Coturnix japonica: one gene and its partner. The main gene of each other region encodes a partner of the protein of the gene in region 2 in a complex. Links are inferred from orthologs where the notes say so. Each region holds a gene or a part of one and is shown on either strand. Other genes may lie near its edges.

Evidence for each region.
Region 1: the proteins of SNAP25 (region 2) and VAMP3 are in contact, whole or in part, in a crystal structure (PDB 5KJ8), measured with the Rattus norvegicus proteins. The link is inferred for Coturnix japonica from reciprocal best matches to the Homo sapiens genes SNAP25 and VAMP3. Residues at the interface, in NP_112253.1 of Rattus norvegicus: Asp147, Leu150, Glu151, Val153, Ser154, Ile157, Leu160, Arg161, Ala164, Leu165, Met167, Gly168, Ile171, Asp172, Gln174, Asn175, Ile178, Asp179, Ile181, Met182, Ala185, Asp186, Asn188, Lys189, Ile192, Ala195, Asn196, Ala199, Thr200, Met202; in NP_476438.1 of Rattus norvegicus: Ser15, Arg18, Leu19, Gln21, Thr22, Gln25, Val26, Glu28, Val29, Ile32, Met33, Asn36, Lys39, Val40, Glu42, Arg43, Lys46, Leu47, Glu49, Leu50, Arg53, Ala56, Leu57, Gly60, Ala61, Gln63, Phe64, Ser67, Leu71, Lys74.

Annotation. Positions count from the first base shown.
Region 1 is NC_029536.1:234,694-238,410, reverse strand, and holds the start of VAMP3 (vesicle-associated membrane protein 3), read left to right. Parts: upstream 1-903; 5' UTR 904-1,020; coding exon 1,021-1,022; intron 1,023-2,370; coding exon 2,371-2,452; intron 2,453-3,050; coding exon 3,051-3,209; intron 3,210-3,687; coding exon 3,688-3,717. UniProt on the Homo sapiens protein: SNARE involved in vesicular transport from the late endosomes to the trans-Golgi network.
Region 2 is NC_029518.1:11,889,276-11,892,952, reverse strand, and holds the start of SNAP25 (synaptosomal-associated protein 25), read left to right. Parts: upstream 1-809; 5' UTR 810-970; intron 971-3,677.

The sequences.
Region 1 (3,717 bases), on a different chromosome or scaffold from region 2:
ATCCTGAGATTGGAATGTTGCTCCACGAATCGATCTCTTTTCTAACGAGAGTAGTGACCTCAGTGCAAATGTTGAACTCCCTGTATTCAGAAAAACAGTTCAGTAACATACAGAGCTATTTCACATTACTCTTCCAGATCCATGGGCCTGGTGGTGTATCTACTAACCCAGATCCTGCTTCAGCAAAACGTTTAAGCGTGGGCTTGGTGTTCGACACGCCAGCAGTTCTGTGTGCTCAGAGCTGCTCGCCTGCTTGAAGCCAAGCGCAGCTTCCAAGTGCTTTGTTGTGTCGGGTCACAACCCTTCAGTGCATCGCGGGGGGTCACAGACTCCCGCTGAAGTGAAGTGATCCGCTCACCCTTCTCTCCATTGTGGGACTTGTGTTTTCACAGCAGACAAACTAAGTGCAGCTTCCCAGGAAAGTTCAGGTTCCCAAGTGCCAGGAGCCAAAACCTCCTGAACCCTCCTGTCTGGTCACGGAATCGCTCCTTTGTGAATCGCGTCTGACAGCAGAAATACTGTGTGATCGAAATGCAGAATATAACATGAACCCCCTCTCTGGTTGCACGCTTATGGCAGTTCCACACAATAGCTGGTGCCCAATGGGGGGTCCCCAAGACTTGCATGTCAAACTAGTATAGATGTCTTCTCTTTTGTAAGTTTTATTTTTGTAACCGTGCATGTAAAGCATCACTGAATCAATGGATCTGTTGAAGAACTCAGCTGCTGGAACCATGCAAAATGTTTTGAATTGCCCTTAAAATATGGAAAATGTTTTCTGAATGCTTTATATTCTTTCTGCTGTAAATTAAAAACAAAGAAAATTTCCCCATACGAAGCGTCTGACTGTTTTTACACGGGACATAAGGGACGTAGCGCCGCCATGGGCCCATCCCGCGGCCTGCTCCTCCCACAGCCCCGCCCTCCCTTCGTCACATCCGGGCTCCGCGGGGCAGCTGCCGCTTCCTGTCGGTCCTTCCGAGCGCTCCGGGTGCGCAGCGGCTCCGTGTCGGCGGCGCGATGTGAGTACGGAGCTGCGGGCGGGGAGCGGCCCCGATGGGCGGCGGGGCGGCCCGGCCGCGGCCGGACGAGCGGAGCAGGAGCAGCGGGCGGCTCGTTACGGCTCGTTACGGCTCGGGCCGCTGATGTCGGCCGGGAACCGCCCGTGGGTGGAGGCTCCCGGGGCGGCCGCGCTTCCAGCCGGGAGAGGCCGAGCGGGCTCCGCTTGGGCCGCGCACCCCGAGCTGGAGGCGGCCACGGCCCTTGGCTGCCGCTGGAGGCGGCGGGGGGGCGTTATCCTGCCCGGCTCCCCGGGACAATGTCGGCGGCCTCGGCAACTTCACTGAAGGCTTTTCTGGAAGCGCTGCCGACGTGGGCAAAGGAACGAGGGGCGGCTTTGGAGGCCAATTTCTTGTGTGCGTTCTGTGTGGAGCCTCAGAAAGCGCTTCCTAAATATTGGCAGCAGTAAAACAGCACAGAGGTGTGAGCACAGGAGTGGTTATTACATCAAATCTGAACTACTACTATTGAGCCCTGTCTTGTTATCACGGGGCACTGGGTGTGGGTCGCTGTGTGCGTCTACTTCCTTAAAATGTAGGTTTGAATTTAGTGCCCAAATCTCGTGCTACAATAAACAATGCTCAGGTTGAACCCTCTGGGTGTCAGGTTGCACTGAACAGCACGAACTTCTGCTGCAGAAAAGAGGAAAATACGGAAAAGCTGCTGGAGTTGTGGAGCTGTACAACAGAAAGTCACTAAAGCTGTGGACAGAACATGAGAAATGCGTACAGACTCCTGCACTGATTGCAGTAATGCACAGTGTTGTACTGGGTAACAAGAATGGGACTGCCTGGGGTTAGGAGCTCAGAGCTGACTGCAGGTTAACTGTTCTTTATGCCAAATGCATTTTCCTTGTGCTTTCTCTTGCTCAATATCAACTGTTTCAGACAACTGCTCTGTGCAAGGACACAGAACAACCATGAAAGTTCCTGTACTTTGGTTATTGGCGTAGAGTTTGTTACTGAAAAACTGAACACTACTGAGCTTGTGCCTGAGAACCTGAGCCCCTTCTGAGCACTACAGGAGTTGCCATATGCCTTAATAGAGACTATTGTATTAGCTAATTGTGACTTTCAGTACATCAGTCCATTCACTAGCAAGAGATTGAGGATGCACTTTGACTTAGACCTATAGCCAGCTGCTAAAACATCACTTTCCCAAAAGGAAATTAAACTTCTCTAAGATTATTCCAGGATTCAAAGTTTCCTGCTTCCAGGAAGGTCAGATAAGTTGTGTGTTGTAAGCATGTCAACTTGAAAGCAAAATCTCTAAGAGAAACTAAGAGGATCCCAATGGCTTTCTTTACTGCAGGTCAGCCAACGTCCCCGGAAACACAAATGTGCCTGCTGGTAGCAACCGTCGGCTTCAGCAAACTCAGCATCAAGTAGATGAGGTAAAAATCTGGTTAGATAAGTGTCATTCATTCCCTTAAAAAATCGGGTATCTAGTATAGATATACCAGCTAAAGTCGCTGTTGTTTGATATGAAGGTGAAACCTTTTACAATTCATCTTTCTTTGTTGTATCTATCACCTTAACTCTTGGAAAGGTTCAGAAAAATAATAATCCATTAATTCATTCCAGCTTGCTGCTTTGGGAAGACAACAAGCTTTGCTTTGACACAGAACAAGCTTGCTTCTCTTCATTAGCAAAGAAGTTTTACCTCTAAATAAGACATGTCCTGATTCCTGAGGAGGCCAAGAGCCAGTTTAGCTGCCAACGCTGTTTTTTGACGTATGGTTGACTGTTGTGCTTGAATGCCTCAAGTCATTCTGGTGCCAGTCAGGAGTTACATCCCAGGTTCAGGGGAATATAAGCACAGTGACTGTACTGAGACTGAGAAATAGACACTAGGGCCTTCCAGCTGCAGGTAATGTTCAGGCTTATGTTTGGATACCCTAAAATGCAAGTTCCTGCTCCTTAGATGAGAACATTTGTTCCCTGCAAATGGATTTGATACTGATTAATAAAGCTGATAACTTACCGATGTAGGTTGTTGACATCATGAGGGTGAATGTGGACAAGGTGCTGGAAAGAGATCAGAAGCTGTCGGAGCTGGATGACCGTGCTGATGCGCTGCAAGCAGGAGCTTCCCAGTTTGAGACCAGTGCGGCCAAGCTGAAGAGAAAGTATTGGTGGAAGAACTGTAAGGTAACCGTGGCATATATACACTTAGAGTATTCACTATCACAGTGAACAGTATTACAGTCAGCATCTCAAAAGGCAGCGGGAAAAGGGACTTCAGGCAGCGTTCATTTCTATAGCATCTAGTTTTAAAGCACTGCAGTGGTGAGGTGAAGTAATCAAATAGATGACCAGCAATGCTGCTTGATACAAGGCCTTGTGTGAGCAGCAATGGCCAGAGGGAAATGCTGCAATAATCTGAGGCTTTGGGGTACAAGAGGAATAGGCCAAAAATATATATATTAATGTGTAAGCAAGCGGAATGAGCTCACTGGGTATCCTTGTAGCTGTCAGCAGAGGTTGGAATCCTCATTGGTGAGCAACAAAGACAACAGAAAGGTCTACCACACCGAGTGAAAGTGCTTTGCAAGGGCTGCTGTCCTGCACTCTGACGGCTATTAAACGCTGCTGTTACATTATGTGACGAGTGGCTTTTTCTTCACAGATGTGGGCAATATTGATAGCTGTTGTCGTC
Region 2 (3,677 bases):
TTCAGATGCAATCCCCATCCTTCATTAAAATCTCCGTTAAGAGATACCTTTTACAGAAAGATGTTTTGTAACAAATGAGAGGATTTCCTCTCCATTAAATATCACACTACAGACAGCTCCATTTGCTCCAAATTAGGTAAGCTCTGAATAAATATTTTAATTAATCCATGATAAATAAGCCAGGCTTTTTCCCAGAACAGAGTCACTGCTTTCCTCCTTGGCAGCAGCGGTCTGTTCTCTCTGTGCTGTATGTATGCACGTACATGCCTGGGTTTTTTGTGAGGGCTTTTTTTTTCCCCCCTTCTCTCTCCCTTTTCTAAACCTGTCTCTCAAATGATCGGTTATAGCACATGTCCTTATCTGTGGATTTCCTTGCGTTTGTGTGCTCTTATTTCAGGGGGGAGGAGAAGGGGAATAATCAGATTAACACACTCAGACCCGTGGCAGGATGCTCTGAAACATAAAAAGAGGGAGAGAAGGAAGAATTCACACATAAAAATAGAAGCCCACGTAGATTGGCCATATATGGAGTACCGGGGACTTCAGAGGGATACCCTCTTCGGACCACCCCTTTGGCGGAGGCATGTTGCTGCAGGAGGCCCCTTCCCCCCTCCCCGGGCGGTTCAGCCCCCGGCCCCCAGGCTCGGAGGAGGCCCGGCGGGGCCGTTTGTCGGCGGGGCGAGGAGATCGGAGCGGGAGGCGGCGGCGGCGGTGATGACTCAAGCCCGCCCGCCCGGCCCGCTCTGCCCCCCGCCCGCTCCCGCCTCCCCCATTCCCCCCCCCCCTCCGGGGAGGGCTATTAAAAGCTGCTGACGTAGGAGCGGACGGCCATCTTTGATGAGGGCACGGCTCTCGGTCCATTGAAGAAGGAGACCCGAGGAGGTCAGCAGCGGCTGTCCTTGCCTCCCAGCTGCGGCACCGAGACACCAACCCCGCCGAGGCGGCCCGGCGGAGCGCTGCACAAGCCGAGGTAAGGGCGGGAGACCACCGGGCCACCGACTGAGCAAGGGGAGGGGGCTGTATGAACGAAAATGAAGCGAAAAAAGGATTTGTTTAAAGGGGGACGCGCTCGGCGTTTTGTCTCCTGTCTCTGGGCTGCTACAGGGATGGAGGAAGTCGAGGAGAGGGGGGGTAATGCCGCCGCCAGCCTTATCGCCGGCTGGAACCATGGGAGGGAACCGAGCTCTGTGTTTCCGCTGTATCGGGCACGATCGAAGGCGGCAGGGAGCCCGAGGAGAAGGGCAAGCAGCGCATTTCTAACCTGTACTGGGAGCAGGGTGCTGCGGGGCTCTCTGCTCTGCTGGGTCGCGCAGGGCTGCAGCCGCCCAGGGCACTGCAGCGCCCTTCCCGCACCGCACCGCACCGCGCAGGGCTGCGGCGGCGCTTCGGCACCGCGGACGGAGGCCGGGGGGGAGGTCAGCAGGGAGTACTGCGGCTCTGCGGGAACGGGAGGCGGTTCAGCACCGCGGACAGCGTCCGTCAGCACAGCGGACAGCGTCCGTCTTCAGCACCGCGGACAGCGCCACGGCGCCCCGGGCTTGGAGCCGCGCTGCAGGCGGAGGCGGGTTCGCTGCAGCGCCCTGCGGCTCCGCACCCCCCCCGGGCAGCCAGCCCCGGGCAGCCTCTGCCCTGCCGCAAGGGAAGCGAGCCCATAGCTGAGCTGCTAGCTCCTTCCGGGACGGGACCTCAGGCTGAAACAGCTGGGGCTTTGCGGGGTTTCTCGGCAAGTCGAAGCGCAAAGTGGGAGAAATAATAATAATAATAATAATAAACAATAATAATTACAAGCTTCGGTTCTTGAAATTAAGCGGCTCTTCAGCCTGTCTCCCACCCGGCCGGTTGGTGGAAGGGCATTGGTGCAAGGGAAACGGGAGTTATGTAACACCTGGTCCGCGGGGTCTCTCCGGACCAGCGGCAGCCCCTAGGGCATCCCCGCAACCACAGAGGGTCGGCCCCGGGCATTCTGCAGCCTTGAGTCGGGGCAGCTCAGCTCCTCATGCAATGCAGGCAAACCCACCTCGCACTCCTGACCCTGGCATCCCTGTCCCTGGCGTTCCTCTTCCCCTGTCCTTCCTGCTCCCTGGCACCCCGCTTTCCTTCTCCACTTGGTACAGCTCACTGCTGGCAAAGTTGGTAACTTTGCTGTTTTCTGCAGGGCAAATAAACAAGAGGGGATGAGGGAAGTGGGTTGGGCGTCCAGACATTGCACTGCGTAGCTGCGTCAAATGAGGGCCATGGGATCTGCCAGATTTACGTGCTTGGCTTGAGTAATTGCTGCTGGTTTCATTCCCAGCTGAAAAGGGGGTGGGGGGGAGGAGGTGGGGATGGAGAGGCTGGTCTGTGGTGAAGCCTGGGGATGGCAGATCAACCCACCAAGCCATACGTGGTTACTGTCAGCCCCAGCTGCCGCATCCACAAGGACATGCCTGTCCCTCTCCTCCCTGCTCCATCCTAGCTCTGATCTCCATAGACCATGACAAGACAAGGCTGGTCTGGAGGCAGACACCTCTATGGGCTGCAGGGGAGGAAATGGGGCCATCTGGGTGATGAGAGCTCCAGGGGATACAGATGAAGAATCCTCCTCCCATATCCCTGCATGTCACTGAATCATGGTCAAAGATACCAGTCTAGGAAAAAGTGGCAGTGGTTTTCCATTGCTTCTGCATAGTGCATAAGGGGATGGCAAGGAGGTCACTTTGATTCCTAGGATGAGTGCCAAAGAGACAGCAGAAGTGACCAAAGCAAAGGTACAAGCAGGCCTGATTTGCAAAAGTGAGAGCTTGAGGCTCCCACTGAAGTCAGGAGGACTGGAAATAACCGAGCATGTTACGAAACAAAATGCAGCTAAACAGCAACCCCAAGTAAATGCAGTTTAACTATATTTATACAGCTAGCTAGGAAATGATAGTGAGATATCGGATTCTATGTCCACTGAACTCATGAGGGCAGAAAAATAAAGAACCCTTAAAGTACATCTAATGAAACACAGCTCCAGTTTGCAGATTTACTGCATTGGGGGTGGAAGCTGTATTTCAGGTCATCAGAAAGCTTTTCATTCATCTCTGTACAGGTTAGGCATGGCAACAGACAGTGAGATTAAACTGCTAAGGCAAATAAAGTGTAGTCTATATCTAATTCCTGCTCTGCTATAACCGAGCAAGGTAACTAATCAACATGCTTTCCTGTCTTATTATTAACTTAAGCAATTTTTAGGCTTTTGTGTCACAAGCCTATGTTGCAACAATTTGAGGTAAAATGGCAAGCATACAGCAGAACGGAGAACTCAGTCTCTTAATTCCTTCTCTCAGGAATGTAAAAAACCCTAGGAAGAAAGGAACTTGGTTTACCTTGGCTTGTTACACTACCATACTTGTTCATTTCATTTAATTTTTTCCTGATTTTTTTCCTCAATTTTTCATAACTAGAGTATAATCACAGCACTTTCATTATTAAAACACATGCACATTTATTTCAGACTTCTAGGGCTTAAGTCACTTAAAACTACAACAAATGTAAACTCACTTTATGGCCTTCACTGAAGTGAGTATGTTTTTCTTTATCTGAAGTTTCCTCTACTGCTAGAAATGCAGTCACCTTTGGGCTGGGTGAGTGCCAAGTAGTCTGTAACAGTATAATTGTTGAAGCTTTTTAGAGCATCTAACGCAGAGTAGAAAAAT